2 linked regions of the Neodiprion lecontei genome follow. The protein of the gene in region 2 binds, or shares a complex with, the protein of the main gene of each other region. Links are inferred from orthologs where the notes say so. Each region holds a gene or a part of one and is shown on either strand. Other genes may lie near its edges.

The links. Proteins that work in one complex are often made in the same cells at the same time.
Region 1: the proteins of uncharacterized protein LOC107223905 (region 2) and kinase suppressor of Ras 2 are in contact, whole or in part, in a cryo-EM structure (PDB 8BW9), measured with the Drosophila melanogaster proteins. The link is inferred for Neodiprion lecontei from reciprocal best matches to the Drosophila melanogaster genes cnk and ksr. Residues at the interface, in NP_001286524.1 of Drosophila melanogaster: Lys79, Asn80, Asn82, Gln84, Leu88, Glu183, Asn187, Ile190, Gln191, Ile193, Ser194, Asp195, Pro196, Val198, Leu199, Gln200, Pro201, His288, Thr289, Met291; in NP_001287177.1 of Drosophila melanogaster: Arg900, Gly901, Met902, Lys903, Gln904, Ser905, Leu906, Ala907, Gln910, Ser911, Gly912, Arg913, Lys916, Asp917, Met920, Tyr925, Lys945.

The regions. Positions count from the first base shown.
Region 1 is NC_060266.1:5,384,966-5,388,722, reverse strand, and holds the start of kinase suppressor of Ras 2, read left to right. Parts: upstream 1-1,180; 5' UTR 1,181-1,346; coding exon 1,347-1,499; intron 1,500-3,757.
Region 2 is NC_060260.1:24,525,163-24,528,919, reverse strand, and holds the start of uncharacterized protein LOC107223905, read left to right. Parts: upstream 1-1,279; 5' UTR 1,280-1,385; coding exon 1,386-1,443; intron 1,444-1,986; coding exon 1,987-2,576; intron 2,577-3,757.

The sequences.
Region 1 (3,757 bases), on a different chromosome or scaffold from region 2:
CAGAATGGTTTGATTCATACACTAAATTATTGATTAATAGTTAATAAATTAACCAAATGGGTTATATCATTAATTCCATGTTCAATGACGCTAAACAGAAATGCAATACTCATCGCATCACAAATGTGTAATGAATCAGATCCAATTTTACTCGGGTTTTATGAGGAAAAACCTGAGAGAACCTGGATTTTTGAGACTTTAAGGGCATGTGATAGCGCTTTTGTATCGACCGAATTAGTTGATCCTTATTTTTTGGTATCATTAGTAAACTAAGAAATGAAATTTGTTCATGGCAGAGCATTGCGTTTCCTTAATATTTGTCTTGTGGCCTTTTCAGAATATTAGAAAGTGTCTTGAAGAAGTTCTATACATCAGTTCATCATTAGTGACGAAAAATAACAGCCAGTAGACTCGCAGGGGGTGGACTACTTATACTCTCCTCCATACGGTATTCAAAAGGTTTGAACCAAAGCGATACCACAACTATGGGACAAAAGTATATAATATAAAATTTTATTTGGCTACATTTTTGGTCGCCGAGTCTATGGTCGCCACAAACACTGAATTACCAATTCGTACGTAAAGTTGACCGAGCAACTTGAGTTTTTTTCAATTTCGATTATCCAATCGTTTGATAGTCGATTGGTGTGGCGGTAGTGATAGTATAAAATGTTCTATAATATCTTTAGTCCTAATCACTATTATGTTGGCTACAGTTTGGTCCAAGCCCGACGAGTAATTTGTCCGTGGAATGGTAGTGTCCACCCCAGCCTCCTGACACACGCTGCTAAAAGTGGTTCGCAAAATGTCCCTCGATTCTGCCGCCAATTCCCACCACTAGTGGCGCTAGTAGTTGTCTGACAAGCTTGCGCGCGCTCAGCGAGGGCAGCGAGCGTGTCAGAAGTCTACTAGCGCCACGTAGAGGAACTAAAAAACGGGGACAAAACGCGTACAAGTTTTCAGTATACGAGCAGTGGTGAGTGTTAGGAGGCTGGTGCACCCCATAGACTTCGATCACTGATCTCTATAGTGCCCCTGATTGACTCGCTCGATAAAAAAGGCCTACTACAACGTATGAAGGTAGGAAGTGATGAGTTTGCGAACGCACGTACTGGACTTTGATCGTCGACAAGGGGTTCAGGGCGGGGAGGGTTCCATACGTACGACTGCCGGGCGTCTCTGACGTCATTGATAGGCTGCCAAGATGGCTGTCAATGTTGATAAGTGGTTTGGTTACTTACGATACCTGTGATATTGAATTCGATAGGGGCCTCGCGTCGGGGATACTATGTTGGTGAAATAACAAGTTGTTTAGTGACCGAGACAAGAAGCTGTCACCGTTTCTCATGGCGGACAGCGAGGAGGCTGAACAGGACATTCGGCGAGCCCTAGATGTCGATCAATCCATGATTGACATCTGGGCCGATCGGCTTGAAGGCTTACGGACTCAGTGCTCTACCAGCGCGGAGTTAACACAACAAGAAATACGCACGCTGGAGGTACACGATGCATTTTTTCTTATGAAATTGGCCGCCTTTTGCTTCGCTAATTTCCCGATATCACTCGCCTATTCATGTTCCTTCTTGCTCCAAATCCGCTTGACCTGTTACAGGAAATAGAAAATATATCAATCATTCCTTTCTCCTGCTACTCTAAGCCTCGAATATTCCTATTTTCCAATTAAAAAATCCGTCCAATTATTTAAAATTGATCAATCGTATCGCACTGATTCTAATATAGGCCGGTATAATAATTCTCGAGAACATGATGCGCCAAGGCTTATCATTTAATTCTTGGAAACGAGCTGTCGATAAATACAGTTGTAATTCAATGTTTGATACCATGTTTTCAGTTAAACAAAATTCTCACAACATTCAGTGATTCTAAAAACATCACCGCTTGTCGTGTTAAGAATTTCTTTTTATTTCTTAATGTGTACCTTATCCACAGGGTAGGATTCTGTGCCAAGTAGCAGAGAATTCATTCATATGAAAAGTATCTTTCAAAGACTTGTCAGTCTTCAATTTTCCTTCTACAAGAAATTGATAACACTGCTATTATTGCATAGTTACTCGTTTCTTTCTTTTAAAACACAGTATCGGTTAAAATGTATTCTTTGTGATTTGTATTCCCTTGACCCAGTTAGTTTAATAATCAAGTGGCGCACTGCAAAAGTTTCAGTGTCACTTCATAGGAAGTCAGTCTTAAAATTTTACAATCAGCATCAAATTATTGTAGCATGGTAATATTCATAAAAATTGTGTTATGTTTGTTTTGTTTTTTTTAGTCCTTAAGTTGATTTCAGATGGTTGATCTAAGAGCAGAATGTTTGTTATTGAAACATTGTTGCTTAGAAAGTTTTCTGTGTTAATCACAAGCCGGAACCAATTTTCCTCGTTATACTTCAAAAATATCTAGAACAAGATTGATTATGCTAACATGACATATTCCTTACTTCATAAACTTTAATGACAAAGTCAGCGAAATGGGGTCAGCATCTAAACTCTAAAAAATTGATTTTTCAAACTCAGAAGATCTCCGTTCGTAGCACTTTTCTCGGAGCATTTTAATTTTCTTCTATTCTACCATTGTGTGATGACATAATTTTACAATTAATACTCAAGAAACCTGGAAATTACTACGATTTTTACTGTTCTAAGTGTAAAAATATATGGTATACTTTATAAAATTTCATGAATCTATCCAAGTTAACAATACATCTGTATAATAAAAATTGTTTGGTAACAACGCCTCCAATGAATTAACTGCTCTTATGTCTAAAATAAAACTGCTTATTCAGTATATTTCAAGTTCAGTGTTCAAGTTCAAATTTGCCACACTTCAAGTATAAAAAACATGATTTTGGATAAATGAGAGATTGAGGAATAATATCCACGTGTTTTTTTTTTTCAGTCTATTATCAGTCTATTTGTCAAATAACCGTTAAACATTTATGACAACTATGTTGTAGATTTAAAAAAATTTTAAATACACTTTGGGAATCTCAATTTTCATGCAAAATGCGTCTCATTGCCTAATAAAGCCAAGTTCTAAGTTCCCGAAAGAATTCCATACAATACTTCAAACTTCGACAATGATTCAACTATCATGGACAAATTTTTTTGGTTGTTACCATGGCATTGTTAGTACAGCCACATTAATATGTCAATTTCCTGCAGTTCTCTATGACCTGTACAAATTATACTGTGTTTTCACATGGGATTTCAACATGCTGTAGTTTTGTACCCAATCAATTTTCAATTTCCACACATTTGAACTTGGTCAAACTATTGAATTGTAGGTACGATTTATAAAAAAGTCTTACACCAATCTTATTCAATCAGTGAAGTGATGCCTCTTGTTTCTTACATTTCTGTCCATAATCTAGTCGACATTGATAAAAAAAATTCCAAGTAAATATCAAAAGCATGTCTTGTGGAAAGGAACAAGGAAATTCGTTTTTATTTATACTAAGGATTTACATATACAGAAGAAAAAGCTGATTTCTTTAATTTGAAGATGCATATTTTGCATATATGTCTACTGTTTTATTTATCTCTGCATTTTTAAATCCGTTTATTCTACCACCTTTCAACTTCTTCCTTAGGTTTTAGCTGTTGCGATGAATTTGGAACTCAACATTGAGTTTCATGATTGTGTTCGTTATAATTTTGTAAAATAATATACATGATACGAAACTCATTTTTAGATTATTAAAATATTTGTATATCAAACTTTTAAGCCAGCTATTCTTCGG
Region 2 (3,757 bases):
AACGAGAAATTTATGCATACGCCAGCTGTGGAGTTCTACTAAGTGAAGCGTTCACGACGGGAGTTGGAAAAACTAACGTGCTGCATTACCGAGAAAAGCTTGAGAGTGTTGCGAATCTCGTAGCGCTCTCTGACAAGCCAGGCTTCTGGAACTAATTTTCGAGGTGCATGGTAAAGGCATGTTGGTAACGTTTAATACTCTGCCGTATTTGGCATTACGAAAGCAGTGAATGATACAAAACACTTTTACGGCGATCAGCAGCAGCAGTAAAAATTGAACAAATTACGAACATCAACTTGCCTCCGTGATGCTAAAGACGGCAGTGTTGGTCTGTTAACAACATGCGCTTACCGACAATGCACCTCGAAAATTAGTTCCAGAAATCTATTTCGTGTCAGAGTGCGCTACGAAATCGGGAACACGAAAAACGCTAGCGTGGGCTCTCTCAGGCTTCTCTCTGTGCGTTGCCTGCAACGTTGATGGAGAGAGGTTACCAGTCTTCACACCACGGTCTTATAGACAAGTCTGGGCCACTGGTCTGGGCACTCCAAGCCTCTTCCTATACATATAACGCAGCGTGACCGTCTTGTAGCCTGTGTTTCTCAATTTGTGCACCAAAGACCGGAGCGCTGCAATCTCCGAAACCGGTGTATGCGTACTAAAGGAGGGAGGGAGAGGCCTACTTAGGCCGTGTTCGAAAATTGACTGACAGTACTGTCAGCAATCTTTCATCTCTTTTGCGCTTTCAAGTTCGTGAATAGCTCTGACTCTGTCCTAGGGAATTTTCAGTACTGTCAGTCAATTTACGAACACGGCCTAAGTAGGCCTCTCCCTCACTAGCGCTAGCGGCGAAATTTCACAACATCGGCTTCATTTTCGAGCACGGTTTTACAGCCGGAGTTCCCAGACCTGTCTATAAGACCGTGTTTACACCACTGATATACATTTCACACTCATGGACATGGAGCCTAGAGTTAAGGAGGTCGAACGGCACACGAGAATCATGATAAATTTGGACGCTGAAATCGTCGAAAAAGATATATGTTGGTTGTAGTTCGAAATTCAGCCACGAGCGCGCTTGTTTTGTCAGTATAGGCTAATGACCTTGAGTATAGGATATGAAGTATGGCATTGGTGATGCTATGAGGTGTGGAGTATTCGTTATCGACGCCCGGTCATTGCTGTAATAATAATACTTATATCCTATACTGACGACAGCAGCGCCACCACAGCCTATATATCTTTTGCGTCGCTTTCAGGGTCCACATCCATAGTACAGCGTTCGGGCTCCTTAACTCCAGGCGAATTGGGATCACAGCGAGGAGGGAGAGCATGAGGGAGAGTTTCGTGTTGGACGATCTTTAGTCAGAGATGAATAGCCAACCATGGCGTACGTCAATGTCGCAGAATGGAAGACAGATCAGGTGTGTGAGTGGTTGAAAGGTACGTGGAAGGCTTGATTATTACTTCGTAATATTTGTTATGCCACATTGTAAGTGCTTAGAATCGTACGTATTAATTCAGTGACGGTTTTTCGTATTATACGACGCGAAAACTCCATTTCCTGTATACGCCCCCCGGCCCTCGTAGTTTATTACGTCCATACATGTATGTTATACAAATACAAACTTCGTTTGTGAAGGCTAATTTCGTTCATTCAGTATGACTAATTGCGTAATCCATTGATAAATTCGATATGTGCGTGACTGAATGAACGTCTTTCGTTTGTTTTTGTTGTTCTAAAAATAATTCTCTCCTTTGTTACTTGAAACTTCAATGATGCATTCATTCCAGATCTGATAATTATTATGCATTCTTAGTCAGGGTGCATCGTTCAGGGTGATTGTATAAAATATCTTTCTGTAAAGTTCTCATACATTTTTACCCATAAATCAGATTCACTTTTGCCAAAGTCCTTTATATTTTTTTGACAATAATTTTTAACATTCATCATTTGCTAATACGTTCTTGCAATTCTCTCGACAGGCTTAGACAATTCGGTGTTACCGTACGTTCACAGTTTTATGAACCATGTTGTGAATGGTCAACAACTACTGAATCTCAGACCGGAAGACTTAGAACACCTTGGGGTACTGAAGCTTGGCCATCAAGAAATAATTCTCGAAGCTGTTGAGTATTTGAGAAACTTTCACTATGAACTTGACCATGAAAATTTGCAGCTTCTGGCATTACGACTGTCTTGTCAGGCCCACAGTCTGCATAATGAATTATCTCGACAAACCGATTCTAAACCCGTCACCACTCAAACTTTATCCGACGTAGCATCGGTTGTAACATCTCTGAAGCCTTTGGTCTGTTGGCTTGATCGATCTCCGTTTAGCGGCCAACTAGAATACAATGATAAAAAGGCCGAGTTGTTGAAGCTTTCCATAGAAATGGCGACCTGCGCTCAACGTGACAGATTCGCTGAAAGACCGATTGAAGAGATAAGAACTACTTGTGGACAACTAGCTAAATTGGCTGATTACATTATACAAGACATGGCCGATCCGATGATATTACAGCCAGCGAGTCTGGATTTAGCAACGTTAAAGAAAAGGCCAGGTGATGATTTGGTAAGTAATGAAAAGTAATCGTTTTTCTATAGCATTTTTTCTGATATCTTTCTTTTGACAATGAAATCAGCTTCATAATTAACTTATTCAATTTCTCATATACATCGTATGATACTATGCAATATATATTTAAAAGTTGTGCAATATTTATATAAAACAGTAATAATAAGATTTAATTTGATCGAGATAAAGTTATTGTTAATTGAGTAAAAGATTCTTATGAGACTTTTCAATATTATCAATAAACATCAATGAATGCTTAGCAACCACATCCGTTTGAGATAAAGCATGAATGTCGGTAAGATTGTCATTTCCTCTGCAGATAATACTTCTTGTGTACAATCTGAATTTAATACGACCATGGAGTTCTGTATTCTACTTACAATTCAATTATGGAACCTATTTCAGCAGTATGAAATACTATTTAAATGCAATTACAAGGATTTATACAGAATTCTTTTGTCCGATTAAATTATCTCATATAAAATCAATCTTTTAATAGTGTACGTAGTGATGACTAATTTTCATGTCTACGCTAATACAGGGTGTCTCATTTTTTTAAATACGCACCAATATATCGAAATTTAATCATTAAATTGAAAGATGTTTCGGTCAAAAGTGAAAAAAAAGTTTTTAAAAATCTGACCAAACAACCTCCCTAGGGTATACATCAAGTGACGCTAATTCCCACAGTTCTTAAATGCTTGGCAATGCTTAAAAACAAACATAAACAAGCGCCTAACCACTTTTCAACATTGAACAATTCTATTCATTGTAGAATTTGTTCTCATTTTTAAATTCTTGACAGTGATTGATGTATTACCACTTTTCTCACGAGAAAACTTCTAATAAAGTTTTACGCTTATTTGAAGACGATAACTAAAAAATTACTAGGAGTAAAACTTACTTTTTAATGAGAAATACGAAAGTAAAATAAAAAATAGCAGGTTCCATTTGAAAAACGAAAGTTGGGCCCCAATGGGCCCAGCAAAGGCCCCAGATCCAAAAACTGGGATGCTCATCTGATGTCCCCCTTCATATACAACAATTTTTGTCCGACACATTGTTCAATTTAATGCTTAGTTTTTGATATATTTGAGCATATTTTCAGCAATAGGACACCCTGTATATATATATCAAGATTAAAACGCAATACAGTTGTAAATTTTTTACTCACAATC